Linked DNA regions of Drosophila melanogaster. The protein of the gene in region 2 interacts with the protein of the main gene of each other region in a pairwise test. Each region holds a gene or a part of one and is shown on either strand. Other genes may lie near its edges. The genes, in order: ovo, drn, CG7987 and CG14881.

Region 1 (7,105 bases), on a different chromosome or scaffold from region 2:
TTTTTTGTCAGTCTCTCTCTCTCTCTCTCTCTCTTTCATACTGTGTTCCTCTCTGCCGTTTCCTTTGTGCTGGGTATTCTTGTTTGTTGATTCACTGCACAAATAAATCTCGGCTTTGAATGTTATCGAGGTGTGCAGGATTCTCTGGTTTGCCCTTTTTCGCTTTTCTCTTTCTTTCCGATTGTCAAATATCGTTTTTGGTTGGGAGATTAAAAAAAACAAACCCTTGGCACAGGTAGTTCGTTTCACTTCCATACGCACACACCTACATATACATAGTGTGCATTGTTTTATCAGTCCTTCGGCAGGTAAAACTAATGCCAAAAATATATGTACGTATACCAAGGGAAGAGGAAGAAAAAAGACGAGGCGAAAAGAACTCATATTAAATGCCTATTGGAGAAATCAAGTTTGCCGCCTGAGTCTTTCGATTCAAAATTAAAAATTACTAAGGTTGCGAACTTGAGCTACCTTCCAAGGTATGCAATTTGAAAAGTATGTTTACTCAAATAAATTTGTGTGTTAATTGTTTTGCCATTATCATTTAGTTGTTATCATTTTAAATGTAGCTAAACTGGGTTTTTTTCTTCTTAAGCAGAGCATTTGATATTCTTATATGGTTTTTGATAATGAAAAGGGTTACCCATATGAGGCTTGATTAATCAATGCAGAAAAGGCTCTCATCAGTTGATATTCATTCCATTTACATATGCGCAATCAAGTGTAGATGCCCATCTAGATTTCAATTAGTTGAAGATCGGAGAGCGAATCGTCTGGGGGATCAAGCGCTTAATTGAATAAACAATAGAATTGATTTGATTTCCGAAGAAAATCTCAGCACTGGCACTATGAAGTAATGGGTTTTGGGTTTTGTTTTCTGTTACTACTGCCCCCTTGTCTTTCTCTTTTTGCATTTACCTTACCATTTACCTCATTTACCACTTGACTTTTGCTTTTGACTCGTCGTCGTCTGTGTTTATTTTTTTTTTTTTTTGGTTTTGTTTGAGATGGTGAGTGTTGTTTGGAGAGGGTTCGCTGAACTTGTCTCTGGAGAAGGGTCGCGAGGTCTTTAAGGGAACCTTTCGCTAACTTCCGCTCGAGGATTGCAACATCTGCGTGTAAGCTCTGTGTGTGCAATTGAACTTGCAGTTCTAACAGCTGCAGAATTTGCATTGATCGCTCTCCTTTATTTTTGGAAATTTCCTTATCGCCGATCGGTCGATCAATGAATTTCCTTTCGGTTATTTATTAACTTTTACTAGTGGCCCGAGAGAAATTCGCGGCATAAAGATCGCTGACTGAAGATAGAGGAAAATGTAACAGGAAGTTATGCTCATAACTTCCAGCTGTGGCGGGCGAAGAAACTAGGAGGAATTCTTGTCCATATATGCATGAAGTTCAGTTCGGTTCGTTTTGGTTCGGTTTGGTTCGCTTTTCTCGAGCATCTTGGTTCGCATTTTGCTTTTTCTCCTGTAGCAATGTTCATCCTCCAAGGCCCTTTAGCATTTCACAAGCTCTGTTCTTTTGCCTTTCCTGCCTCTTCTGGTGAGTTTCTTCTCCCCAGTCTTCAATTCGACTGGTTCTACAAGTTTTATTATGGCCAGTTGCCTTGACTTTGCTTAGGCCAAATGGCAGACGACGTACCTACAATGCACCCCACCCAACGTCCTCATCCCCAAACCACCTTCTCCTGCTCCACCTCCTCAACTGAACTTGGCTCTCATGATCGTCATGATGATCTTCTTAGTCATTGTGTGTAGTTGGAACTTTAGCTCAAGTCTAGGCTGCAAAACCAAACAAAATGAAGTTCTTTTTCTGCTCCGCACTCTTTTCTTTTTCTTTTTCCGTTTCTTTTTGCTTTGGCTTTGGTTCTTCATCTTCTGGCAAAACTTGTACTTTTGCGTGGTTGAGAGGAGATTTTTTCTTGTATCTGGCTTTTAGTACCTTGTACTTTGGTAGTTATATAATTTTTTTTTTTTCGTTCGTTCTAGCTTCGCTCTAGTGTGTGAGTGTGCGCTCAAGTGTGTGAAGTTCTTGGCCATGGGCACAGCCCACTAAAGCCAAGAAAAACACGAACAGCGAGCGGTAATTGAACAAAAAAAAAAAAAAGTGAACAAGCAGTGTGACCAGAGGGTTCTTTGAAATCAGAGCAGCATGAGAACACATGTTTAGAGTGCAAGACCTAAATAATATTAAATCCTGCATAGATTGATCAAAGTTGGAACTTAAAACTTCAAAGTGTTAGTTATGAAGTTATGCGAATCCGATGAGCTCACCAACTTCTGTGTAATTCTATCCAATTTAAAAATTTTTTCTTTGAGAATATAACGTTGCGAAACGATTTCCCTTCAAATAACTTCCATTACAATATCCGCAGAACTCATAAAAATTATACAGCGGAAGCGTTCATAATACATTTTTAAGTGGATGGGCGATAGAGATGATGAAGGGAACTTGGTTGGCTTGGCGATAAACCGGGAGGAACCGAGAACGTAACATGTTATTTAATTTAATAAATGTTGTATATAGCACTCAACTACGCGCTCCGTGAAAATAATATATATAAGCTATAACCATGAAATATAATGCCTGCGTAAGGGGCAAAATTATGAGGCTGCGTGTGAGAGAAGCTACTCTTGAAGTGAAGTCGAGCCATAATGGTTGCATAAAAATATAGATATAATTAAGGCCAGACAAAGGGCAGTTAAAAAATGCTTAGAAACAAAAGACTTTAGCGAAAAAAAACGCCAAAAGAACGCTGAACGAAATTCACTTTCAAATAAAATCGAAAAGAACTTAATTAATAAAACTCGCCCCGAAAACGAAGAAAGTTCTTCTCGCCTAATCATTTATGAAAATTTTAAACCTTTAACCTAAGACCACCGCCTAAATCGAAATGACTTAATAAGCATGCTGGGCGATTATATAACAGAAACAGACAGAAAATAAAAAGAAAACTGAAAACAGAAAACAGAGATCAGAACAGAGACATGAGAACTCTGCTTGGCTTTTTTGGCAAAATAAAAAAAAAAAATAAATAAAACGAAATAATACGCTTACGAAATTCAATGAAAGTGATTGATGTCGAAGTAAACCCATAGCTCCGTTTTGGAGAATGGAAGATAGACAGGGCAGATATAGATACAAAGATACAAAGATACACTGGGGACGAGTTCGTTATGGTGTGGGCGAAAAGCAATAACAAAAGCTGCCCAAAAGTGAAGCTTGAAATTTGAAAAGATTTCCAGGCAATAGATATGGCGCATTGTATTGCCAGCCGATTTGCCATCGGCCAAAAAAAAAAAAAAAAACTGACTGACAGATTTGTAGCAATTATTTATCCAAGTAAATTAAAATTCTTTGCGTTGTTCTTTGATATTTTGTGCTTCGAGTATTCCAAACAAGTAACAGAACGCATTTATGTGACAACGGTTTGGCAAACGGAAATTTAATCGCTCCTAAAGGTGTATTTATGTATAAGGCAGCGAAAAGATTTTTAGACTCTGTTTTAGAAAAGTTCAACTTACCATTTTGAACTTGGCCAGTGGCGCATTCGACTTCCAATTCCGCAGGATTTTGTATTTGATTGGGATTTGCATTTGCATTTGGATTCGGGCTCTGATTTTGATTGAGATGATCGAGACTGTGGCGCGATTGTCCGAAGTAGTGACGACGATGGTGGAATCGTTTGCGCGTGAGGCTCAGTGGCTGTTGATCTGAATCGGGCACCTGTCCGAGCACCTGTTGCCCCTGACCTTGCGGTTCCGGTGGTGGTTGGGATGTGGGCGTTGGCGAGGGGCCGCTACCACTCCCACTTGGACTGAGGGGCGGCACCAAGCGCTCATCATCCTGATTCTTGTGCTGCAGCAAGTTTTGCGATTCAAGCAAGCGCTGTTGCTGCTGATGCAGGCGATTTTTGATCAGGAAAATCTTCGGCATGATGGATTATCGGTTGATTTGCGATGAACGATAAGCGATTTAACGAAACGCGACGGCGACACGCGACGAATTCAAGGAGGCGACGAATTTCTTCGTATTTTCAGGTGGACGAGGGACAGTTACAGTGGGTCCGAAATAAACAAAACACTAATCCAATTGTGTGTGTATGTTTGTTCGCCGCTCGTCCACTGTGTTGAAAAAAAAAAAATTGCTTGATTTCAGTTTTGATTTGGTCATGAGCCGAGCTCAAGTTAACTTCTGTTTTGCCCTCTTCATGTCTTTTGAAAGTTCTTCGGCTTTGCAAGTCAAAGTCAAGTCAATTATAATTGAGGGATTGTTTTGGGGTGTCCTTTCGTGATTTTGTTCTTTGGTTCGAGAATTTTGCTTTGTTTTGTCAAAACACTTCGAAAAAATGTACTTGAAAAATATTGCCTTTTCGGCAGTGTCGAGTCTTGGTTCTTTTTTTGAAAAATCAATTTTTTTTTAAGTTTTCGGTGACTTGTCGAAAAAAGTGTTGATTTTTCCCCCAAGTTTTCAAAAAAAAAAAATATTCGGTTATGAGAAATTTTTGTTTTTCCCAATTTATTTTTTGGGTTTTCAAACACTTGTTGGGTTCTTGATTTATTTGTGTTATTCAGCGCACTTGTAAAAAATATTACTCAAAAAAAATTTTGTTTCTGTTTTGTATGGATGTAATTCAATATATTACTATATTGATTGATGCACAACACAGTGTTTTCGTTTTTATAAATTGTATTGTTTTATGTGAGTTTAATGGTTTGCTTTGGTCTTTGGGATTCGCCCAGGTGAGTTAAGCGAAAACACGTGCATTCACAACGCCGGCTCGCAACTTACTGTATTCGAGGTAGTCAGTTAGGCCAAACCAAAGTCAACCGATCGATCTCGCCGCTACAACAAACTCAGTTAGACGGCGAATTTAAAACACCGTAAATCGAGAGAGAGAGAAAGAGCGAAACTTCCCTTTCGTATGAGTCAGAAAATAACGAGATATTCGCCGTTGCTCAGGTGAGAAAAACAGCGGCGAAACGGCGAACCAAGCGCACCTGTGTGAGAGAGAGTGAGAGTGTTTTGTGTGCGTTGCCTCATTTCGCTCACATAACGTTTCTCATGCAGTTTCGCGCTCTCTCTCTGTCTCTCTGACGCGCCCTCTCTTTCCCTCCTCAGAGTCAAGGTAGTGATGATAATGATGATCACGCTCATGATCAAGAATCTTCGCCTTGGCCATTTGCCGGCTGAGATCGTTTTTACCCGATACCGCGAGCTGTACTTGTGGTACTTAGAATTTGGTTGGATTGGCAAATTAATAGAAAATTTAGAAAAATTTCAATATAAATATTTATGTTCCGGTCATTTTTTGTTAATTTTGTACTGTACTTTCGAACTAAGGACTTTGTATTTACAGCACATCTTAAAATAATTGAATTAAAGCTAAATTTAAATAGATATTTTTCTTAAATGTTCTTAAGCCTATCAATAGATATCAATTATTAAAACGATTTGTTTAAATGAAATAGTTTGCAAATAATGTTTTTAAATATCCTCCTAATTATAATTAAATATTCTGGCTAGTTTGTTTCCTAAGTCATTTGATTTTCGATAAAAAGAACCCCAAAAAAGGAGGCATGATTGTGGCCCTTGAAGAATTTCATCATTATTATATCTGTGCGAGTGTGTTTGTGTACAACGATGGAAAGAGAACCGCGGTAAATACAATAAGAAGAAATAACGAGCCAAATAAGAAGAAGCAACAGCGGCAAGTAAGATGGAAAAATGTACCCATATAAGCGAAATTAAACGGCAAAATAGTTGGCAACGCAGGCATTTCTCGCTCTCAGGTGTGCGTCTCATTCTCTCTCTCTCTCTTTCACCAGCTCTCTCCTTCCCCTAAATCCTTGTGCGCATGCGTTTGTATGTGTGAGAGAAGATCGCTTAGAATGCGCTTAGAATGGCAAATAAGAAGGCCTAGCTCCATCTCTTTTCAACCCGCACAGGTGCGCTGCCAACGGATAACTAACGTTATTTCACCGACACACACACACACATGGAGAGCAAGTGATGTAAGCGACGGCGAATTCAGAGCGTCGCACACCTGTGTGGCACACACACTCATATACATACACGCACGCATACGCTCTTTTGCGGCGACGTAACAAATTTACAGCTAACTTTGAGCTGGTGTGCGGAGGTAGAGAGAGAGAGAGCAACGAGCCGAAGGTAAAAACGAAGACGAACTCACGTCCGAAACTGAAAACGAAGCCTCGTTCGCAGGTGAGAGAGGTGCACCATAAGAAATTAGTGCGCTGCCCCTTCAAAACTTAATAGAATAATAACATAAAACTGAGGATCAACTTAATCCTTTTTTTTTTTAATTTCATATCAAGTTAAAATTTTAAGAAATAACACATTTTTAAAATGTTGGCCTCTGATTGAAAATAATCGGTAGAATTTGTAATTCAATTATCTGAAACTCATTTTATTTCCGTGCATCGATGTGTATCGCGAGAGAATTGGAGAAAGAGCGGCTCTGAGAATCTGAGGCCGAAGTGGCAGGCACAGAAAACCTGTTGCTAACTTTGGCTTTGACTGTGACTTTGCCGTTGAGGCAGCGGCAATGTTAATGTCATGATGTTGGCGTTAGTAGAGGTTTTCCGTTGGCTCTTCTTCTTCTCGGTCGGTGGAGCCTTCTGAAGAACATCCCCCCCCCCTGCGTTGTTGTTGCTGCATTGTTCCTGCGCCAACTTCACTCTCACTCAAAAAGCCGCTCGTTGGCCAAAATGCAAGTGTTCTGGTCCAGAACGAAAATATGCACAGATTTTGGTTGTACTAAAAGATTTGATTATATGTACATTGTGTACATAGAATGTTCTTGAAAGCGAGAATTTGTATTATGTCTATATATTTTTTGCAAATAGTTCTATACGAAATAATAATTGATTTTCTTTGATTTATTTTCAGAATCTAATTGAAACCCTTGCAGATAAAAAGTAAGTTAAAACTCTCAGCGAAAATTTAAAATGCAACTAGTTTAGTTTAAAGCTTTATTATTCTAAAATGGTTATTGAAGCGACTATAATATAAGCCCAAAGTTCAGATAGTGGATCGAGATCTCTAACCAAAAGCGAATCTCAAGTTCTTGATTGCGAAC
Region 2 (7,185 bases):
TCCCCAAAAGAAACAGCTGCGGTCATTAAATTAGTATCGCTTGCTTGATAAAAAAAAACCACCATGTAATGTTTTGTCTTTCATCTATAATTCAAGATAAATGATTTTAAAACAAACAACTTTACGAAAATATTAAAAACTTTAAATTCTATTAGTATTTCGATCACAACTGTTATTCTAAAGGGACCGACAGACAAAACAAAATTGCATAACTTAAAACGAGAAAAAAAGACAAGAGAGAAAACAACGACAGCCGACAAAAAGAAGATCAAGTATAGGGGATTAGAGTGCTAAAAATAGCGCTATGCACAAAACATTTCGAAAACGGCAAGCAAAGATAATGAAAGGCCCGAAATGTACGAGCCGATCCGAAGTTTTCGATCGTATGCCCGGCCATATGGTGGGTGGATGGTCGGCATCGGGTTTTTTGGGCGGTGTACGGGTGCACGGGTGTGCGGCATCCATTTACACGCGACCTATAACCAAAGAAAACAACTGAAAATGAGGCCGCGGCCGTTCACGCGTCCAACGGTCTCGTTCGCTTATCAATTTTTACTTGTTTATATAAAACCATTTAGCCACAACAAAAAGTAAAGGTAGAATAAAACGACGAGGGAAATGAAAGGCAGGGCTGGTTTTATATACGATACATACATGAGAGTGTTGGTATAATTTGTTTGTTTTTATGTATATTAACACAATTCGAAACGAGCCGTCATCAAAACAAATTGTTTTTGTTTTTCAAACGACCAAAACTTGTTTGAACGAACGCGCTGCTTTTTGTGTGTTTTTCGCGAGAACATACATATTTATATAATTTTAGATATTAGCGACAACGACACGTGTTGTTGTTGCTCAACTTGCCAAGAATTATAAGCGATTTTTGCCAACAAGGGGATTAGTCATCCGGGATCGGGAAAGTTCTCAAACAATCGTGACAAACAATATCGATCCATGAATCACTAGCGTGATAAGCAAATACTATTTCAATCTATGAACTTTGATAAAAAAAAAAACAAATCAATTAAAATAATCGCTGCTTAAGAACAATTCCAATTTAGAATTTGTTGTATTAACAATTCCATTTAACAAGATTTTTACTTAAAGTTTTTAATTCGGCGTAGAAAAACCAAATTTTACGTTGCCAAACTTAGAGGAATCCACCTTGAAAAGTGCTTAAATTTGTTCAAGTGTTTCCTACTCGATATCATCGACTATTTGACTCGCTCTTTCTGATTCACTCAAAAACATTTTTGTTTACCGAACCAATCACAAATAATTAGCGCTTGATTCGTTTCCTATCTTTTTTTCACTGTTATCTCGACGAAAATTCGACTGGAAATGGCGAAATAGACGGCAGAAATTTCAAGAAAGTCGTCATTTCGTTTAATTCCGTCACTAAAAGTGCTTGATTGCCGACTATAATCAAAATGTGCATATGCCAGAAAACGTGCCTCTAGGTGATACGAAAAAACGAGATAATTCTTTATGTAAAGCGTCAGCACAGAAAAATACGAATGCAAAGGAAAAAAACTTATACCGAAAAAAAAAACACGAGCAAATATGTACTTTTTATAATTGTTACAAGGTGAGCTGGAGTTAACGAAAAAGAAAAACAGCAAAAAGGCAAGTGAGTCACCAAGAAAAGTTGGAAAAACAAAGTCAGCTGGGCGACTGTCCAACAATCAGGGTTGCCATCGCAGCCAGAACCCCCTATGCACTCGCCGATAAGAACCGTAATCCCAAATCCGTAGATAATTCGAACTCGTCTTGCTTTTATGCGGGTCTATGAGTCATACGAAAGAGTGAGTGAGCAAAAAATTCAAGTCACGCACTGCAGGCAAAAATAATATTAAAATTGTGGAGTGTGCAGATAAAGATATTTCTTCGGTCACTGCGATAAAGAGGAAAATGTTATTTAAATTTGGAGATAGCTGAAGGGTATATACACACAAATGCACGCACATGTATATACGCATATCACTATGTGCATGTTTGTACTTGAGCTATCAGTCATTTATTTTTCACTTATCAGCAGAGACGTCCTTCGCTTCAAAGTCTACATTTTGTGGTTGGGGTTTTGGTTTTTGGCAAGTCGTAATATTTTCTTGGCAAAGAACTATAGAAAAAACTTGAACAGCTGCACTGAATGAAATGAGATTAGGGATTCATATTCTTAATGCATAACATTGTACTTGTTCCTTCTGCTTACACTTCGTTAACTGCTGTTAACAGTATATTCTTCAAGAAATGTGGAAACTATTTCATTTTTTAATTAATTTTTTTATAATTTAAGTATTTAAAATTTAGTTTTTATTTTGAAAACTCAAAAATGTAATTTAAAGTCAATTCCCATATATTTTGTATGGCATTTTCTACTATTTATTTAACTGCTATTTATTTATTGTTCCTGTCTTCGTAATTCGCGCGACATGGCAACGCTAGTCTAAGCACACACACGACAAAGTGACGTAGGCGAGCCCGTGTGTATTGGTGACTGTGGTGAAGAGAGAGAGAGCGTGGGGAATCGACTAGTGGTGAGTAAGCAACGTAGGCGAGCGAAGAGGAAAATGAAATAAATTATAATTTTCTTTTTCTCATTTGAATTCACTTACTTTTTCAATTCGTTGTGGGTGGAAATTACACAGGCTTGAATCAAAAACTTAGAGCTTTGTTCAAATCACAGTAGTTGGAAATTTTTATGTGTTATGTTGGTCTCGCAGAAATTCAATTGGTTGCTAGTAATTATTTTAATTTTTTCTTTAACAGAGAATTGCACAGGGATCGTTGAAGAAGGAGGAGGGCAAAAATATATCACAAAATGGTGCACGACGCAGTTGCTTTTCCTCGTTTTTCCTTCGTTTCAAGTGGCGAATTACGGTTTTTTCTGCAATATTACAGGATTTTTTTTCTTCTTTTTTCTTATGCACAACGCACACGACTGCGACGCTGCTGCTGAGCTGCGTCCTGCGGTTTTTCTCAGCTGCAAGAGGAAAACGCTGCCAGTTTTCCTTTTGCTTTCCTTTTTAACTCGTTTCTTATTAATCGCGGAGCGCACTAACACGACCGAGAGAGAGGGAGGGGAGCGCGGAAAAGTGATTACTTTATTATCTAGTTTAGTTAGCAAGGCGCTGACTGGGCTGACGATGACAGTTGTGGGTAATTGAAGCCAAAAACCAACGTGGATCTGATCCTCCAAACGCGAAGTGAAGTCTCCAAGCACTCTAACAGAAATGAGCGGACCTCGCAACGCTTGATGACTGCGACTGGCGAGCTAACAGAGCTCTGTTGGTGGCAATTTGGTGATGAGAGCGTGAGTCTGTCACTCAACTTCTCCGGTTGAAAGCAGTTAACAATACCAGGAGTATGTAGGATTGAAATGATCGAAATGATTATTATTTTCAATACATTAGCTATAAAAGAAACACTTATTTATATAAAATCGAATACAATGTTTGTTTAAAATTATTTTCAATTTGTATTTTCTCCTCTTGACAATAAAATCAAACGCAAATTGGACCGAAATGTATGTAAAATAAAATTCTTATCGTGACACGACGTAACATAAACTCATGGTCTCATCTCTAGCCCAAACGAGCGCTGTTAACGCAAAAAGAGCGTTGATTGCTGGTGTGGTGAGAAAGTGGTTAGGAAAGGGGAATGAAGGATGACAGGCTAAAAAGAAATCGCCAGTCAACGGAGAGAAGCCATGTAGGAAATAAATTAAATGTGAACCGAGCAAAGATGGTCGAAAATGCGTATTTCCAACGAAAAACACCACGCTATGTTAGCCCAACAGTGCAAAGTGCACACACAATAAGATTGTGGAAGGGGAACAGAGGGAGACAAGAGACAAAAGACCAATGCAACGATAGAGAGTCAAATTTATATCGAGTCCCTGCCAACAAACCAAAACTATTTCCGCTTACTGGGCGTTTCAAGAAACCTTCAAACGCGCTTTTAATAATCTTTATGGTTTTTCGTATGACTTTAAATTGGGCGACGACATAATTTCGACGACGCCATATTGTTCGCCAGCCCAAAGAGAGCTACAGCGTGTTAACAGCCGCAGAGAGCGAAACTGCGCTGCTGCGTCATCAATGCAAACTGCGCACTTTTTAAAAAAAATAATTTTAATATCAATTTCTATGCGTTCACCGAACGGGAAACAAAAGTATTAATGTAGAAATCGCCTAGCGTATGGCGATTGCTTTGTCTTCCCCAATAGTAATCTTTTTGATAACAGTGCCATATTGTGAAATGGCTGTTGGCTGGCCGTGGTGAGTATTTGCCGCAGTTTAACAGGCCTGAAATTTGGTTTTCCAAATCACCCTTACCAAGAGAATGTCCGTTTTGAGGTGCACTTTGTCCAATTTCATTACTGATGTTTCAGAACATTTGTAGTCTAATTTCGTGTTTTGTCCTTACTGAGAATGGAATGAAGCACAAAAGCTTAGTGTTGATTAGCTCTGAAATGCAGTGCTAATAAAAATTATACAGCACTGAAAATATGATTGCCCAGTTTTTGCTCATTACATTCTTTTTGTCTATTTTGTATATATCTAATAAATAATACTTAGAATGTTAAATACAATTTAGGAAATATTATTTTCAATAAATTCATGCATACATTTATTAAATATATATTAGAGGGTATCGTCAATCCGACCACGCTTTCACATCGAAATGTTATTTTGTTGCGATCACTCGCAAAGCAAATGTAAAATCAAAAGCAAATTAAAAAGTCAGAGTGGGGCTAAGAATTCGCTTAATTAGAGGTCATAGGCTCCAATGAGATCGTGTTCATATAAATAATATAAAATATCACTTACGATCCGTAGATAGATACCAGTTTGTAAAGTTTCTCGACAAATATTTCAGCTATCAAAGGTCGCACCTGCCTACGAAATTGGTTCTGCACTAGCCTTGTTGTGATGACAAACAAGCCAAAATAAAAAGCAATAAAGAAAAAAAACCAACCAAAAATAATAACAATTTAAATGAACAGACAGTAAAAATACGCTAGTGCTAACGAACTTTGTAAACTTAAAGGCAAGGTTGCAAGCAGAAAAGCTCCAAAATTATGCGAGACGTACAAAGGCAAACTTAAAAGCGAGCGATACTAAATACTACGTAGTATAAAGTCGCTGAGCGTTAAAAATAAAATATCAGACACGCAACAGCGACGGCTGCCAGCAGTGTTTTCTATAGAAAACGAAAATTATTTCCTGTTTTCAGCAATAACAACCGCGCGTGAGGTGGAAAACGAAAATATTGCCCTGCAGGCGGAGATAACAGAGTTGGGGGTGTCTAACAGTCGTGGTGAATCCGAAACGCATTTGGCCATTGCATTGCAGTTTGTTTACCATCACGTATTAGCCACAAACCTTATAGAGTATGTACATACACATACATACATGTGTATGTATTTATACGTATACCCCGTAGCTTGCCCCATGAAGTTAAAACGACGCAGTTGTAAGAGAAACCAAGACGAGGCGGAGATACAAAGGGGCCTCAAACAATGCGTAAAAAAGGTGATTGATAACAAGGTGCGCCTTACAAATGTTCACTGTCTGCCCTCCACGAGCAATACAGAAATTCGTTTAGACCTCCAATCCATACGAAATTCTCTGCGCTTATCTATTTAAATGCTCTGATTTGGGTAATAGATTTGTATAGATTTGTATGTATGTATGTACATTGTAGCAGAATTTAGCGAGACTTGCAGTATATAAACGTACATAATAATTCCCTTTTTATTGCTTAATAAAAAGAAGCAACTATCTACATAACTCTTCATTTACCTTTAATTTTAGCAATTTTTGGTAAAACATATTACTTATTTGTCACAGTGTCTATAATTATGCTGATACAATTGGAGCTACAAATAGAGGGTGAAACGTTTTTCGTGCACACAGTTGCACTTTATGTAAACATGTGGGCACACGCACAAGGTTGCGGAAGAAGAAAAAGAAGTGCATTGTGCAGTCGAAAAGGAGAAGGAGCAGAGAAAGAGGGCTAAAAGGACAACCATAGAATGAGGGAGCAGACAAGCTTGGTGTATTTTTGGCACACTATCGCCCCCTGTAGCTACCTCTCTTTCTCGCATTCGCTTATACCATTTCGCTGTGGTGCATTCAACCTGCTGGTGAGAGAGACAGGTGCACTTACAGTTCCTCGCGATCAACAGCTGTGTGAGTGATTGCGAATCGGGCAATTACTTAACTGCGTTTGCGAGATAGGGTATCTTAAATTAATATTGTTACAAAGTATTGGAGCTGATAGGATTTCATATTTTATTGTATAGTTTCTGTACTCCAAAATATTTATATTTTCTATAAGATAACTTTCAGTTGGAGCATACTAACTTTCGTATATGGTAACGTATAAACATGATCGTAACTAAATTTCGCGTAAAAAATATATTAAATGATGATGATGAGCAATTCACGTGAACAGAGAAGGAAGGCTAACACTGGACTCGGAGACAACGCAATTTGCTGAACTTTAATGCGTAGCAAGCCAAATCGAAAAATGCAGTAAACAATGAAACATTGCTAACGGCCCACCCTCCATCGTCCCCATCCCCGCCCCCTTTCCGAGATGATTTGTTATTGTTGGCCTGGCTTACACGGGGTTGTTGTTGCTGCGTAGCTTGGTTGTTGCTGGATAAGGCAGCGGCGCATGCAACAAATTGCGTTCTACCAACAACAGAAACAACGGCATTCAGAGATGAGAGACAAAGGACCATGGGTGGATATTTTAAGCAAGAGTACTGTGTACTCCAATGGCACTTCCAAAAACGTTAACTAATTCGTTTTCTAAAATATTGACTATCTAAATATATCATTTAAAGTTCATCTAATCCAAATGTAATCAAATTTAAGCTTTTTGTTTAATTTATATAAACTGAAAAGGGATTCTTACTATGTTATTATATTTTACTATAAGTATTGTTGTCGTTGGTTCATTTTTTAATTGCACAAGATGGCAATCAAAAAAGATAAACGTTTCAGCCCTAAGAATAAGATAAGCACACAAAGGCCACAAAGAATCGCCACTCGATGACGTAGTTTGTTTTCCAGCTGAATTCCAAATGCAATTGTTCAAATTACCCCACTTGAATGAGGAAAGCAGAATGCTCTTAGAAAATATTCAGCATAGGAAAATGTGTGTGACACA
Region 3 (10,484 bases), 5.2 Mb from region 2:
ATGGTAGAATTGACAGGGGAAAATTGATTGGCTTATTGACAATATTAGAACAGCTCTTGTCAGGCGAATCTTTTGATATTTGCATGGCTTTTCAAATAATTTATAAAGCATTCATTAGGGAAAATGCAAATTGTATTTAATACAATTATTTATATTTTTCTTGGTAATAACTAACACACTAACCAATTGTATTTTTACAATATAAAATATAAAAAAACACACTTTCAAGTACCAGACAACGTCTTTAATTTCGAGTCACATAAATCGTAAAATCTCAATTGATTTTGCATAAATTCCTGACGAAAATAGCCCAAATTTATTCACGTTCTGAACAGTATTCACACCGATTTGACGGATTACCTTAACGGATTGCTCTCCGCAAAGAGGCAACTTTAATCCCGAACGTGTCGTGTGCCAAGCCAACAAGCGATATAATAACTTATGCGATCGGTACCGAAATACAAAATGACCAAGAAATAAAAGCAGTGAAATGCAATAAAAATATCTATGCATCAACAATTACTGGTCAGCACCAAAACAACAACATTTGCTTCGGTACGAGTGTGTGTGTGAGTGTGTGTGCGTGTGTGCGGTGCATGTGTGTGGGGCAGTGTGTGGAATATTAATTAAAGTTGCGAGCTTTGATTTCTTCCCAACGACTGGGATTCCGACGGACAAGTGTTTTGCGTTGTAAAAACAAGCGAAACACCAGCAGCCTCGAGAAGAATAAGCAGGCACTGGGAGAAAATGCGTGCTATGTTTGGTTTTTCATGAATTTTATCTTAGCTTAAAAATTTGTTATTCTAAACGTAATTTCCTTACTTTTCCATACCAAAATAGTTACCCTTAGTATTTATTTTAATAACATTAAGAAAGTGAAACATATGAGATTGCTTTCATTACTAAACCAAGAATAATTGCCACCATATAGATATGAAAACTGGTATATTAAGTCAAGATATCTTAATGGTATTCCCGTATTTTCTTTAGTGCATTTCACACAAGCGCTGAAATTCAAATTCGAATTAAACGCATTCCGGAGAAGAGCAGGCATGCAAAACGCGTAGCCCGCAGATCAGCAGCGAGATTAAAAAAGGGGGCGAGGGAGTGTGGGGGATCCCGCAGATTGCATAAATGACGACCATTTGCAACAGCATTTAGCATGTAGCATTATGAAAAGCCCTCTTTGCATTTAAGACACGCATCTTGCATATTTCGCCTTGATGTTGATCGACAGTTTGACATTTTATGTCGTCGCCGCCTGTCGAAAGGACGGCGGTTACTTTTCACTTGTTTTCAGTTTCAGTTGATTTTTGCAATGCAATGCAATGGGATTTCATTACAAAAAAAAAAAAAAACTAAGAAAAACAAATCCCATTAAAACTCACCCAATCCGACCGCTAGGTGGCGCGCTAATCTTGTTGATCCAATCTCGATTGTTTTCCCTTTTCCAGAGCAACAGAAACACAAATAGCAATGGAAACACAAACACACAATGGTAAACAAATACGGAATTCCAGTCACGAGCACTTTTCTCGACTTTTTTTTGGTTCAGTTTTTCCGCTGCACTCGGCACAGTATAAAATACACACGTATATTGGCTTGTATATTCGGGGAGACTATGGCCAACCGATCCGATCCGATCCACGCCAAAGCCAAAACGAAAATTAAATAGCCGCTGCTCGTTGGCTGCCTGCGTTTCTGTTTCTGCTCTGCCCAGCGGAGCAATAAAAATAAAAGCAGAGCAATCGGGAAACAACAACAACAACAACAACACTGGGCTGGGGGAGGGGTGGAAAAGTTTGGCGCGCTTTGGCGCTCGTTTGCATATGTGTGGGTAAATAGTGTGCTCTTTAAATTGCGGGGGTAAGAGAGAAAGTCGAAAAAGAGAGAGTGCTTTCTCTTTTGGAGAGGGAATGGAAATATCGAAATTTATATATGAACAAATCTCTAACGGGATCTTGCAGGTGCAGGATCTGGGGCGACATCTGGCGGGATCTAGCCGATTAGCTGAGTTATGGGTATCTAAGGGTAGCTTTCCCTCTTGTTTAAGTAAATTAACTTTACTATCATGTCCAGTTAACCCAGGCTAAATACTTTTTTCCTATAGGGTTAAAAATAAAATGCCCACCTCTACGCATTTACGCGAATTTAAATATTAGTTCACTCCGCAAAACACCTGAGCAAATCTTTGCATTGGCTTGACTCCAACCACAAATTTTTGAATTTATACGAATATGATTTAGTCACATATCTGTTGTAGTCCAAAATGGTCTCGATTAAGTTTATTTTGCTGTTTTTGGTCTTATTCTATTTCCAAGACGGTATTTCGGCCGTGACCTGTGATCTTGCCCCCACAGATGCCAGCTGCATAGACTGTCGGGTTTACCCCACTCACATTGAGTGCTTGCAGAGATTTTGGGCGCCAACTACAACTGCAGCGCCACTGATCGTAGCCACCACCAAGAGGTCCCGAATCGGCAGGATTCGCAACTTCTTCAGCAGTTTTCTCACACGAGTCAGAAGTAAAAGTTGGTTCTGAGATATAAGAAATTACATTTTAAAGAAAGTAAAAGAAATAAATAAATTTGCTTCCGCATCAGGAACTTGTTTGTGTTAAAGGGCGGCTTATAATACAAAACAGTATTAAAAATATTTCAAGTGGTTTCCAAAAGCGTCTGAACAAAACTCGTTTTCAAACTGTAAAGGAAGTGATTTTCTAATGAACTTAAAGGATTCATCAATATATTACTTATTCTTGATTTCTTGTTCAGCCTTTTGTTTTTCAACACGTGTTTATCAACAAATTAGTATTAAGAAAATCTATAGCAAATTTGAAATCCAATGAATAGACGCTATATTTTACAACCGCTACTTTACAGCACTTTTTGCCGTTAACATTGAACTATTTTATTGGATGTGGCATCGCCGTCGGCAGGTGGCAGCCCCCACCGAGCCGAGAATAGCAGTGGGAAGAAGAACAAGAACGGGCAACGCAATGGCAATTCCTCTTTCTCCGGTCGTTCGTGAACATTTTGCGAGAAAACTTTTCGCCGCATTTAAAAACGTTAAAGACGAAGCATGCGAACGGCATAAACACTGGATTTAAGGTAAAACAACGCAGCAACAGTACTTAGTGGACGGTAGACCTATTTAACCTCAAAATGACACCGACAAACTCGGCTGAAAATTAAAAATAAAATATTCCAAAGTATCGGCTGTGCAAGAATTTTGGGCGTGTGATGTGTGATGTAATAGCGTGGCCGCAATGGCTGTTACCGTCTGTGGCTTTTTTTCATATAAATTAATTGGCCAGCTCTTTGTTTACGTTTACGCCAAGCTTGCGGTCTGGAATATAAATAAAAACGCCGACTTAACCTCATTTATGGTCCAAATTGGTGTTTATAAGTTGGAATATTTTGCATGTAAAAAAGCTTAGACACGAACATTGCTGTCAGGATAGGCGAGTGCCGTGAGTGGAAGCGAGATGACTAGTGTGTGCGGCGGTTGGAAATCAGTGGTGTGCAAATTTTCAAGAACGAAAATGCTAGATTCAAAATATTTTATTTTATGTGCTAACACTTAACATGTCATTAAAATTGTTAGCAGTCTCAGATACATCCGTTTAATTTGAATAATTTTCTTTTTTTAAAGATACAAAAGAATAGTTATTTCCAACAATTCAATATACAAAATTTAATCTAAGTCAAAACTATGTACTATGTGTAATATTAATACAAGCATTCTTCTGACCAGTAGTTCAGTTAATTTGTATTTTGCAATTCATTATATTTTATTATCTAGCTATTTTTTTTTTAAAGTAACTATTGAATGTCATCGACCAAAGATCTGGCAACGCCGTAGTCGCTCTCCCTCTCCCACCGTCTTCGGCCTTTTTGAGCACATGTGCCACCGATTGTTGCTCGCAACGGATATTTTTGTGCCTCCCGTTTGTTTATGTGTGCAACGAAGTGAGAGAACTGCATATTTTGCAGGGCTAGCGAGTGATGAACAACCAGCGATATGGCGGCATCCAGTGGATACAGCACCACGTTTCCGCGGGCGACTCCTCCGAGGTGGACATCCTGGAGTCGGATGGTGGAGCAGGGGCCTCGGGTGAGGATCTGGACCATGTGGCGGCCGAGAATCTTATATTCATGGCCCGCGACGGTCAGCTAAGTGAGATAATGGCTGCCAACGAAGCTGGTAGAACGGTCCTGGTCACCGCCGACGGCACCACGGTGGCCTATGCGGAATCCTTCGACGATGACGCCCAGGTGGTCACCGAGGAGGTAATCACAGACGACTGGGTGCAGCACCAAGGCGCCGAGCGGTAAGTTTTGCCCTACTATGCATCTTTTGAAGTTTTTCCTATTGATTTTCTTTCCCGATTTTCAGAGTGGAGATTGCTGCCGAGCAGATAGCTGGGATTAGCAGCTCACAGGAACTGCTGGACATGGAGCAGGATGAGTACACTGCGCTGAGGCCCTATCCCTGCGACTTTTGCAGTCGGCGCTTTCGCAAGAAGGCCACCTTGAATAACCATATGCTGGCCCACCAAAATGATCGACCGCACCTCTGCAAGCTGTGTGGAGCGCGATTCTCACGACGAGCAGAGCTCATTAGTCACTTCAAGGCCCACGCAGAGGCCCAGGATGCCGCCGATGCCGAGGCAGCAGCGGCGGCAGCCGATTCGTCTTCTGCCATTAAATTCGAGCATCAGACGCAGCGGCAACTGGACGATCACTACTACGAGCAGGAATGGCCACTCTTCCAACATCAACAGGAGCAGGAAAACGCGCAACAGAATGTCCATCAACAGCATCAGATTGTGGAAGAGGGCGGGATTCAGCTGGTGGCCAGTTACCCAGACACGGTAGCTCAACCAGCAGCTCCGTCGCGAGGCAGAATCAGTCGGTTGAAGCCCAAGGAAGAAAGCAGCCAGTTCATTGTGATTTCCGACAAGTCGGTGGAGGACTCTAGGCCATACATGGAGCCTGAGCCGGCTCAGCCTGTGGTTACCACGTCGGAGTTTATTGCTGTCGAACCGCCTCCTCAGCCAAACTTTCCGGTGCTGGATCACAGCAAACCTTTTGTGTGTCAGCAATGCGGATTGGCCTTTGCGCGGGAAAAGGCACTAGTTTCACACACCAAGGTAATACTCAACTCGAAATTTTTCCCTAAAACCAGCTTAACCAGTTCATTGACAAAATCATCCACTAATTATTCCTTTTTTTCTTCGTTAGAATCACCGCGTGGACTCACCGTTCGAATGCAACCAGTGTCAGGAGATGTTCTGGGACAACAGCAGCTTGCAGGAGCACCAGAAGACTCATCAGTTCGAGGAGAGCAACTCGGAGTACGATCCTGCCTCAGCGGAGGAGAGCGGCAGTGAATCGGAGGCAGACGAGCAGTTGTATGGCGAATTCTATTGCAACGAATGTGGGATCTCTTTTCATCGCCAGGATCTACTGCGACGTCATGCCAAGATGCACTGTAAGCCATCGGATCAGGCAGCTGTTGGTAGCAATTCCGATGTCACTGCTGGCGGAGACGTGGAGCTTGCCAAAGATTCTTCTGGTCACTGTTGCAACACTTGCGGAAAGTCCTTTCCTAGCGCTTTAGAGATGCTCGCCCATGCAGAAATCCATGCTAGGTTCCCGCCCTTCAAGTAAGTTCGGTCAAATGAACTTGATCACGAGCAGAAAACCGCATTTTAAAGGCTCATTTTGAATAACTTCAGGTGCGTCCTATGCGGCATTAGCTTTTACGAGGAGCAGGCGATTAAGCGTCACCTGCACACTCGCCATCCCAGTGAATTGAATGCCAATTCCTGCGTTCTGTGCGGCAAAGAGTGCCGCGATCGCAAGGCTCTGATAAAGCACGCCTGGGACCATTCGCGCGAGAAGTGCCATTCGTGCTCCAAGTGCGGAAAGAACTTCCACAACAAAGCGCGTCTAAAGCGGCACATGGCTTCGCATCGGGACAAGTCGGTTGTATGCGAGGTGTGCCAGGAAGAATTCCCCGACGGTCGTACGCTCTCCAACCATCGACACTCGCACAGCACTACTACGCCTGGCAAGCTTTTTCCGTGCCTCGAATGCGGCAAGACATTTGGTTCGCGCAGTTCCCAGCAGATTCACGTACGGATCCACACCGGTGAGCGGCCATATGGCTGCCGCTACTGCTGGAAGGCTTTCGCGGATGGTGGTACTCTGCGGAAGCACGAGAGAATCCACACCGGCGAGAAGCCATATGCCTGCTCCGTCTGCCCACGCGCCTTTAACCAACGGGTAGTGCTGCGGGAACACATTCGCTCCCATCATTCTGGGCTGGATGTAGCGCGGAACACCTATCACTGCACAGTCTGTTCCGAAGACCTGGCATCGTCCAATGACCTTATTCAGCACCTGATCCAACACAGTGATTCAAACACAGCTAAGCAGCGACAGCCCGTTGTAAGTAAAATCCTTTGTTTCGAGAGACTTGATAAATTAAAAGAATTGAATTGTTTTTTAGACGGGACCGCGCAAGTACAAGCGTCGCCGTAAGCTACAGCCTCACGAGATCGCTCACATGCGGGCGGCGAACAAGCATGTCAACGGTGATGAGGAAGAGGCCATAGGAGAAGGCGATGCAGAGGAGTGTGCCAGTGACATCGATTTCTGCGACTTTGATGTGGAGAACGTGGACGATATCTTCGACATGGCCGAATCACCCAAAAAAGAAAAGCGAAAGAGGGGCTCGGCAGCCACAAAAGCTGATGCCAAACCCGTGACCAATGGGAAAGCGGCAAAACCTGCCCAAGATAAGGGCAAAGCTAAGCCAAGATATGATTCCACCAGCAGTCAGCAATCGGATCGCCTTTGGGAGGAAAAGTTCCTGCACGACAGTCAAGTGGCTCTGTTTCAGATCGATTCGCTGGTAGTGGTCAACGACACTCATTTGCAGCCTGCTAGCTCCGCTGTGTCTGCTAACATACCCAACACAAGAGGTGGATCGAAGCAGCAGGGAAAAGTTCAGGCGAAGTCTGTAGAAGGAGCCGAAAATTTGAATAGCTCAGCTACCACATCTGACACTACATTCTCCGCCTCCACCTCCACTGCCAGCACTCGGAGCCGCAAGAGGGCAGCAACCACTAAAACAGCCAGCAAAGCACCTCCTGCCAGTAATTCGCGACCTCGAATGATTCACACAGAGAAAGCCAAGGTGACAAAAGGAGTTGGCGGAGACTCCACTAGTAGTTCGGCAAAGAAAACGCGCTCGAAGACCTATATAAGTCGCACGGAGTCGCACAATCTGAGCCTCGACAAATCCCGCAGCAGTGCCTCAAATATGGTGGATGACTATGAAATCATTTCTCCAGCTACTCATCCGCCAAATCAGATCAGCTCCAGTCCCTTGCACATCAAACAGGAGCAGGAACAACAACAGCGTGTTCAACTTATGTACGATGATAACCTACTGATAGATGCTGCTCTGCTCAGGGAGAAGACTTATGAGAAGTTTAATCCGAGCATTGTTAATGATCTGGAGGAGATCCTCCGCTCTCCACTGAAGCACGAGAGAAATTCTCGTCTTCGCTTTACCAGCGAGTCATCCACCACGCCACAATATTTGCACGAAGAGGAGCAAAACCTTATAAAAATTGAACCAACTTCTCCGGATCTGCGGGAAATGTTGGAGGGTCAGCAAAGAGTCATCGCTCATAGCGGCAGCACTCCTTCGTCCTCTTCATCTGCTAGAACTTCCAGACATCTGCGACAAATCACTGCCAATGGTGCACGGGCAGGCAGCAAGAGAACAACAGGTGGCGTAGCCAGCAAGACGTCGGCATCCCCGGGAGTGGTGGCCAAAAAATCGAACACTGCCACCAAGGTGAGCAGCAGCAGCTCATCCTCGTACCTCTCGTACGGGGTGGATTCCTACAATGTAAACGTACCTGCCAGTGCCAACAACGGCGATGTGGGCAGCGGATTCTTTTCCATCTCGGAGGTCGTTTCCGCAGCTGACGCCGCGGATGCGGCTGCTAAAGCGGCGGCAGCTGGTAAATCGGAGCGGAAAACTCGCAGTTTCGAGTGCGAAATGTGCTCGGCCATCTTTTATGATCGCACCCAGCTGCTGGAACATGTGCACATTCACATTTAAATGGAAGCTACCTAAACCACTCGCCCGGAGCCTTGTATTTTTGAAACATCTTATCCTTATATACAAACAAAATCGGAGTAAATTACCTCAAGGTATCGTGCATCGAAAAATATCGTTGATTTATGCGTTATTTAAAATATGGAACCTAAACCTATTATAGAGAGAATAGTTCGTAAGGCTTTTAAGTTTGTACCTCAGCTTTTGTTTTGAAGAATTGGTATGCTGGAATAAATACATCATTAAATGGTTTTTCATTACCTTAAATTTTGCTATCACGTATAGATTGAATCTGATTGATAAGATGGGCTCATGTAACCTTTTCTGATGTTTGAAATCTCTCCTAGAAATCTTAAATTTTCTTGGAAACTGCGATAGTGGCATGTAATATACTTTTTATAATTGGTTAAATGTTTATAAACTTGCACATGTGGGTCTTAATACATATCGACTGACCTTTGTAGTACATACTCATAGAAACACTGATAAGAGCATACCGGAAGTCTGTGTGTAATTTGAAGCCATGATTATATGTTTTCATATGTGGTGTACGGTGACTTGTTTTCGGCTCATTTGCACAGATTTTCAATTAAAGCCGCAACTGCTAACTGAAGTAGAGATCAAAACGATTCTCACAGAAAAGCGGCTTTCGCCCATCTGATAAATCAATTAATTACCGCCAATGAGCCGTATTAGAATATAAGTAAACGATTTCATTTGCATATGCATATTTATTAATCATGGAAATAGATTCTTATTTAAAGGGGGCGCACCTTTGAATATTGACTATAAATATTTGAATATTGACTATAAATATTTGGATAGTAGCTGCGAAAATATCAGGACACGTAGATACCGTAGTTTATGTTCTAAAAAAAAATATTTCGAATCTTAAAACTATTTTTTCACTTATTTTGCCTTTCTAAGCAATTTTCTTAAATATTGTAAACCCCGAGTGAGGTTCTGGTTATTGATAGTTCTGATGATGGGCCAGTCAAGTCTTGGATCGATGGCATAGAGAGCCTATTGTATTTTTCCATTGTTGATCTCCCACTGAGATGGCAGGTATAAAATGGGCCACATCGCCGGGTGTTCATCAGTTCTCTCAGAGTCGTCGAGCGAGCAACATGAACGTAGTAAAATCTTTGTGTATTTTGGGTCTGGTTCTCGTCAGCTTGATTGCCACCCAAGCAGCCGATGAGCAGGTGGTAGGCGGTGTCAGCCAGTTGGAGGGAAACAGCAGGAAGGAGGCTCTGGAACTTCTGGATGCCACTCTCGCACAGTTGGCCACCGGAGATGGTCCCAGCTACAAGTGAGTTAGAACTGAGTTCCGAATTTAAAATTCATACTAATTGATCTGCTGATCTTAGGGCAATCAATGTGACCTCTGTGACGGGTCAGGTCGTAGCTGGAAGTCTTAACACCTACGAGGTGGAACTTGACAATGGATCCGACAAAAAGCAGTGCACCGTGAAGATCTGGACTCAGCCATGGCTCAAGGAGAACGGCACCAACATCAAGATCAAGTGCTCTGGTGACGATGGCGAACTGGACCGCACCTGGTAGAAGATTCTTCGTGAGAATTGCCCTGAAAGAAATAATAATAAAAAAAAAAACAAGATACACGTGATTTAAAAAATGATTTTTGATTAATTTTCGGGGAACTATTGTTGCAAAGTATCCAATATATTGTTGGGAAAAATAATAGGAGTGTATAAATACTTGATTTGCTTTGTTTACGTTCCGTGCTAACCAATTCCCATCGCTAGGCAATTACACACATACTATACATATACATATATAAGATACTATATATTTATTGAGATAACAACCATAGAAGCTTTCACTCCAACAAAAGCTCCAGAAGCTGACTCACAATCGGAACGGAACAGAGTGATATCATTTCATGTTTTGGTTTTGGTTTTGTTGAGTTTTGCTACTATCGCCGCCATGTCCAACGTTCCAATTGTAGGCGGGATCAGTCAGCTGGAGGGGAATGAGAGGAAGGAGGCTCTGGAACTCCTCGATGCCACCCTCGCACAGTTGGCCAACGGAGATGGACCCAGCTACAAGTGAGTTAAGGCTAAACTCGGTCTAGAGCTTGCCACTTATTAATTGATTTTACTCCAATTGAAGGGCACTTAATGTAACCTCTGTGACGGGTCAGGTCGTAGCTGGAAGACTCAACACCTACGAGGTGCAGCTGGACAATGGATCCGAGATAAAACAGGGCACTGTGCAGATCTGGAGTCGCGCATGGCTAAAGGAGAACGGCACCAACATCAAGATCAAGTTCCCGGGTGAGGACGAACTGGACCACACCTGGTAGAAGGTTTTAC
Region 4 (6,257 bases), 7.1 Mb from region 2:
AACACGATTTGAGTGTGCCAGTAATATTTTTTCTATTATATTTTCTATTTCTATCAAGCTATTATTTTTATATACTAAATTAATCTTACCGTTTAGCAGCATGAGCCGAAAGCCAACAAAGCGCTTCCTTACAAGAAAAATACCAGGCCAACAAGGCACTTTGTCCATTCCAAGCATGAGAAGTCAGATGATTGCGACAATTTGCGTAAGCTAACCCTGGCCGATTTTAACGACTGCTTTCAGCATTTGCAGGATGGTCAGTCCGAGCCGGTCGCAGTTGAACCCACAATCGAGAAGAAAATCAAGAAAAAATCGCCATTTGAGGTGCCCATGCTAACGCAGCTCTATTACGACTGGTATCTTCCTTTAAGGAGCGATAGCTGGGGGGAAGGCGGAGAAATCGGTGCCATAGGTGATCCCAGTCCACAAAATGTCTCATCGGGATCGGAACCCCTCATCACGTGGATCGGCAAGCTGGATTGGAAGGGCTGGCTGTTCCTGATTCTCAGAGGAAGCTTTTTCGTGAGTTTGTGATGTCGGTGCCCGAACAATGTAAATTTATATTATACAATTATTGCAGATCTTATTGCTAATTGTGTTTCAGGTTTTCGCCACTCTGACGGCCTATTTTATAGTGTGTCTATTTGTCTATGGATTTATGGAACTGTATGGCTTGTGGACTAGTGACGATGCACCCGAGACATTTATGTTGGACTCCAGTTCTCAATCCACCGCCTACAATCTCGTCACCACAGAAAGTTTGATGTCACATCGATAACCGAGTTTTAAGAATTTTAAATGTGAATTTATGGTCTTTTTATAAATATTTAATTGTATATTACTGGCTTTAATGTTGGAAATAATGAATTATTAAAATGTAAAATTTTTTAATATCTAGCCAAAGGAAAATAAATCGAGTTTTTGTATAGGGAATACCCTAATCAAATAAAAAGCAGTGTTGCAAGTTGAATTTACATCACACAAACAAAAACCATTCGCTTAAAATTCCTGCTCGGCAAATCTTTTTAGTTTATTTAATTTAATTTAACCGGCTCGGAGTAGAAATGGGAACCGAGGAGGAGCTGATGTTCCGCAACTTCCAGCGCCTGAAAAGCTACATCTTCGACGACGAGAAGGTGTCCACCACCACATCCCGCGAGCAAGTGAGTAATCCCCGAATGTCGCCCAGGAAAAGATAAGAGCCGATGAATACTTGCAGCAAAAGACGGAGAGTTCGGTGGAGAAATGCTTCGACCGCTTCGAGCAGATAATGTTCACCGACCCGCGCCTCACCCAGATCTTCCGGCTGGAGCACCAGTACTACCTGGACGCGATGCTGAGGCGGCTGCCGTCCAATTACGAGTGCCTGGACAGCAGTCGCGCGTGGTGCGTTTACTGGATCCTGCAGGCGGCCCAGCTACTTAGCTTTAACTTCGACGACCAGACATTGAACCACGTGGTCCAGTTTCTAAGCAAGTGCGTCTTTGAAGGATATTTCTCTAATAGGCATCCTTAATGCTCCAATCACTCTTTCATAGCTGCCGTTCGCCGACTGGGGGTTTTGGAGGAGGACCTGGACAGTATGCCCATCTGGCGCCCACCTATGCAGCAGTGAACAGTCTGTGCATCATCGGAAGCGAGCAGGCGTACCGTGCCATAGACCGACCGACTTTGGTCCAGTTCCTGTTCAGTGTACGTGACTCAGACGGCTCCTTCCGGCTCCACGTGGATGGTGAGACGGATGTGCGTGGCGCCTACTGCGCAATCTCCTGCGCAAAGCTGCTAAATCTTCCCGAGCCAGTGATCAAGGAGCTATTTGCCGGCACTGGCGACTGGATAGCCCAGTGTCAGACATACGAGGGAGGATTTGGAGGAGCCCCTGGTCTGGAGGCCCATGGTGGCTACACCTTCTGCGGAATCGCGGGCCTGGCGCTGCTCAACGAGGCTGATAAGTGCGACAGGCAGGCTTTGCTCAAATGGACACTGCGCCGTCAGATGACCTACGAAGGCGGCTTCCAAGGGAGGACCAACAAACTGGTTGATGGCTGCTACTCCTTCTGGGTGGGAGCCACCATTCCCATTACGCAGGCAACGCTATCCGGCGTCGATAAGCAAATGGAGCACACCCTTTTCGATGTGGAGGCCCTGCAGGAGTACATCCTGCTCTGCTGCCAAAAGCAGAGCGGCGGGCTTATCGACAAACCCGGAAAGTAAGGGATTAATGCCAACATTGTGATGTTTTTTAATGTAAAACCCATATTTTCAGACCGCAGGATCTCTACCACACATGCTATACTCTTAGTGGCGTTTCCATTGCCCAGCACTCGGAGTGCGCCAGCAGCCCCCAGGTCCTGGGCGACACCATTAACGAGCTACTGCCTACCCACCCACTGTTCAACATCCCACCAAAGTCAGTTGCAGCTGCCAGGAGCCACTTCAGCAATTCCAATGACACAGAGTTCTTGGGGAAAGACAGTCCCAGCAAGGAGGAGAGTTAAGGCTTCAGGTCAGGAGGAGGAGCCTGCGTAATGAGGACGTTTTGCTGGTGGTTTACCTTTAAAGAACTAAACTTGGTTTAATAAATTAATCTTTGAAATATTGTATTTTTCGCTTCTTGTATAAATGTACTTATTGGAAAAGGAATTGATTAAAATGTTTAACGTTTTCTAAAAAATATTTATGTCATATATTATTTCGAAATAAAATTATTATGTTTTCAAATAAATTCATGTGTGATTTTGTACAACAACCCAATTGCTCATTATAAAAAAAAATGAGATGAAACAAATAACTTTTATAAATGTGGCTTTGAATCCGAAAGCTATTATTTTGCCCCCAATGTATTTCAGCACGTTTATATGTGAATGGTAAAACATGAATAGTTTGCGTTGTGAATGGCATTTTGGGACTGATTTCAAATCGCAGCTTTGCCTTCGCATCCTTTTTATGTTCTCCAGCCACAGGACATTGAAGAGGAGGACGCCTGCCCAGGGCATTGACCGCCGGGAGTACATTGGTCACCTGGTCGATGAGTATTATACGACAACCAACATCGGTAAGGTTTTTATTCACGTCATTTTGCCGGTGTGAATTCATTTTTGATTTTCATTATTAGAGGCCCAGCAGCAGGTGACTGCTAATTTGGCCAATTTTGCATACGATCCCATCAACTGGTCGCATCTCCTGGAGGCGGACGCCTTGGATGTATTTGTGGCATCGCTGGAGACACAGGATCAGCTATTAAAAGTGCACGGAATTGCGGCATTGTGTAACCTTTGCCTGGGTAAGCAAACATTTGATTTTCAAACCAACCTTGTTCATCATATTCTTATTGCAGACAAAACGGCTGCCAAATTTATCAGAGAGCAGCTAAAACTGCTAACCGGCCTCTTTGTGCGCACTGATCACCCGGAAATAGTACTTCACAGCCTGGCGCTCTTTTACCAATTACTGGAATTTGGTGAACGGACTGAACGGGATTTACTTCTGAGCCCTGCGGTGCTAAGGACGGTGCAAGAGTGGCGGGTCAAGGCCCACGATGAACGCATCGTTAAACTTTGTCAGTTGCTGCTGCAAGATTTCGCAACACGCACAGAGGTTGTCCAGCTGCAAAAGGCTTCCCCAAACGTTCCGACAGCTGAGCAGCAAAGCAGTGAAGCAGGTGCAAGTGGTTAAGCGGTTTTCCCAAAGCGATTTGGAGCAGTTTGCCCAGTTCACCGGCGACCACAACTACATCCATAGTCTGGAAACGCCCACCGAGGAGCGCCGCGTCCATGGAGCCCTGCTCAACGCGGTGGTGGCTGGTATAATGGGTACCCAGCTCCCTGGTCCGGGCACCGTGGTTCTAGAGCAGAATTTCAAGTTTCTGAAACCCTGTCGTATTGAGACCGACACCGTGGTGACCGTACGTCTGCTACAATCTCGCAAGATTTCCACCGTGGAGTACGATATAAGGCAGAACGACGAGGTGGTGTTCGCCGGCAGCGCCAAGTTGCTGACTCGCAACTAAAAAGACTAGCTTTGGTTCAATAAAAGTGGATGTTAGAATATTTATTTTACTACTTCTTTGAGGCCCGCTTGCCCTCGCCCTTCTTGGGAGGCGCCTTGCCGCGCAGCTTGCGCAGACGCTTCATCTCCTCCTTGAAGTCCTGGTGCTCATCGCGGAACAGTCCGTAGTCGCGAAGGTTCTTCATCAGCAAGTGCGTCTCCACGTGCCGCGGATACCAGTTGATCACGTAGTCCCGTTTGTGAATTGGTTCCTCCGAGAACATGCGAACCACCTGGGGAAGGTCGGATAAAACATGTTTACATTTTAATTAATAAATTTATTTCGAGAACATACCTTCATGGACTTCTCGTTTGTGGTGCGAGCCACTTCGCCGAAAATGCGATTTGAGAGGTAGTTCATCCGGCGAGCATACTGCGTGCCGACCTTAATCAGCTCCGTGTACTTGTGGGACATAGTTAATATTAGTTTGCTATGCTTTTCATGAAATAATTTAAGTTAAGTTTCTAAGTTTTAGTAAATTGCGGTTATGTCACGAAACAAAAACAAGCGACAGCTGATTTCCAAGTGCAGTTGGCATTCACACAAAAGGCCGACAATAGGGACATTCCTCAAATTTTAAACCTGTATTGACCGTTATTTTAAAGATTATTATAGAACATTTACTTGAAAACTGACTACAAAACAGCACTGGCGTCTATAGACAATTCAGTAAAATTAAAAGTAAAACCTTGTTATAAAAATGAACATATGCGAAATATAAGAAACCCACATTTTAGAACAATAATTTGTGGCTTCCATTATCGAAGGTTCAAAAAACATACTTCTTTACTAATATATATATAGACTTGAGCTCAAATTCGTCAAATTAGTTTTTATTTAAAATGAAAAGGAATTAGAGTATGTACCACCTTATTAGTCAACTGGAATAACAAAATTTTAGCAACAATCTAAGCATAAGGCTGCTTCCAATGTAATACTAAAACTTCTAGTCTATCTTAAACCGTCTCTATGGCCCCCCGTCGCCTGCCCTCCGATCCGCCAGTGGCCTCGTTTCCGTCGCTCCCAATAAAAGAAGTCTCCTCGGAGCTCTGCGTTGGGAGCACTTCACGGTTCAGCCCATTTAACTGGCTTAGCAGGGCGTTAGTTCCCCCCAGGGACGCTTCACGTGGTGAGCCGCTATGACCGGACAGCTGATCGTAGTGGAGCACGCGGATGGGTGTGTGTGAGCGGGAGGCAGGCGAGGGGTTTCCCCGAGAGTGCGGACTGTTGTTCCGTGAGTGCTGGAAGTCCTCGAGAGGAATCTCCTCCGACCTAGAATGAAAAAATATTACACATTTATTTATAACTCGATTAGGTGAAAATTAGTAAATTTTATAATTAACAAACACATAGAATAACGAGGACAGATAAAACTGGAGGGCTTAAAGGCATGCTATTCTTTGTTTATTTGTCAAAATAATATGCAAATAAATATAAAAATATAGGACAAACGATATCTTTATACATAATTATACAAGGTGGTATTACAAGCAAACTTAGTCAATCTTAAAGATTTTTTTTTGGCCAAGGAGCCAAAAATGTAGCAAATTTCGAGAATCATGTAAACAGCTCGATAAATTATAAAATAAACTTTTTGATGTCTTGGGCGTAATCCAATTAAAAAAAATAGAAAGACTAGTTTAGAATACTGCAATACTTTACAAATCTCAATTATAACAGAAACCATTCTAAGACTACAGAGCTAACGAAAATGTTTCATTGTTACCGCGGCCTGGGCATTCTAGGGCTGCTCTCCCGCGACCGATTTCCAGTACTTCTGGGCTGGGAGTTTTCCCGAGACTGCGAGGAGCTGTGGCTGCCCATGCTAACACTGGGCGATCGCTCCCGATCCGAGTGATCGGCCCTAAGATTCGAGCCCGAAGTTGAGCTGGGACTGCGGCGTCGGGAGCGGCCAGCGCTTTCATTTCTAATTCTGCGGGAAGACGCACAGATGAGGATGGAAATGAGGAACATGAGGACACACCGACGTGAACTTACCCTTCGATGGATCGATTCGGGGCCATCTGGGTTCGACTAACCCCAGCGCTATTGCTTCCACGCAGCACCGCTGCAAATCCCGGCACTCGATTGGCCGTGGAGAACATGGGACGGTGGTGACTACTGCGCGAACTGCTGCCACTGCTGTTACCACTTCCGCCGCTACTGGATGCGACCATTGTGCCACCAACAGCGTAGACGGGAGAGTCCA

Evidence for each region.
Region 1: the proteins of drn (region 2) and ovo interact in a two-hybrid assay, tested with the Drosophila melanogaster proteins (one large-scale study listed by BioGRID).
Region 3: the proteins of drn (region 2) and CG7987 interact in a two-hybrid assay, tested with the Drosophila melanogaster proteins (one large-scale study listed by BioGRID).
Region 4: the proteins of drn (region 2) and CG14881 interact in a two-hybrid assay, tested with the Drosophila melanogaster proteins (one large-scale study listed by BioGRID).

Annotation. Positions count from the first base shown.
Region 1 is NC_004354.4:5,045,965-5,053,069, reverse strand, and holds the start of ovo (ovo), read right to left. Parts: upstream 4,798-7,105; 5' UTR 3,940-4,797; coding exon 3,528-3,939; intron 1-3,527. UniProt on the Drosophila melanogaster protein: Transcriptional regulator with essential functions in the germline and soma. Plays an essential role in regulating the formation of apical cell extensions such as denticles and aristae, and initiating cytoskeletal remodeling during epidermal differentiation.
Region 2 is NT_033777.3:9,337,922-9,345,106, reverse strand, and holds the start of drn (doctor no), read right to left. Parts: upstream 4,454-7,185; 5' UTR 4,338-4,453; intron 3,241-4,337; exon of another isoform or gene 2,616-3,240; intron 2,532-2,615; exon of another isoform or gene 2,213-2,531; intron 1-2,212.
Region 3 is NT_033777.3:14,568,397-14,578,880, reverse strand, and holds CG7987 (uncharacterized protein), read left to right. Parts: upstream 1-2,993; 5' UTR 2,994-3,110; intron 3,111-3,821; 5' UTR 3,822-4,007; coding exon 4,008-4,333; intron 4,334-4,398; coding exon 4,399-5,155; intron 5,156-5,246; coding exon 5,247-5,671; intron 5,672-5,743; coding exon 5,744-6,458; intron 6,459-6,519; coding exon 6,520-8,148; 3' UTR 8,149-8,409; downstream 8,410-10,484. Other genes in the region: CG44094 (uncharacterized protein), read left to right, coding at 2,270-2,542; Cys (Cystatin-like), read left to right, coding at 9,273-9,457, 9,516-9,711; CG8066 (uncharacterized protein), read left to right, coding at 10,096-10,217, 10,282-10,474.
Region 4 is NT_033777.3:16,432,019-16,438,275, forward strand, and holds CG14881 (uncharacterized protein), read left to right. Parts: upstream 1-2,880; 5' UTR 2,881-2,946; coding exon 2,947-3,055; intron 3,056-3,115; coding exon 3,116-3,283; intron 3,284-3,337; coding exon 3,338-3,549; coding exon of another isoform or gene 3,550-3,637; coding exon 3,638-4,009; 3' UTR 4,010-4,048; downstream 4,049-6,257. Other genes in the region: CG31279 (uncharacterized protein), read left to right, coding at 97-522, 581-778; Fntb (farnesyl transferase beta subunit), read left to right, coding at 1,065-1,163, 1,220-1,476, 1,539-2,210, 2,267-2,498; mRpS33 (mitochondrial ribosomal protein S33), read right to left, coding at 4,059-4,280, 4,343-4,462; ema (endosomal maturation defective), read right to left, coding at 5,005-5,320, 5,775-5,981, 6,047-6,257.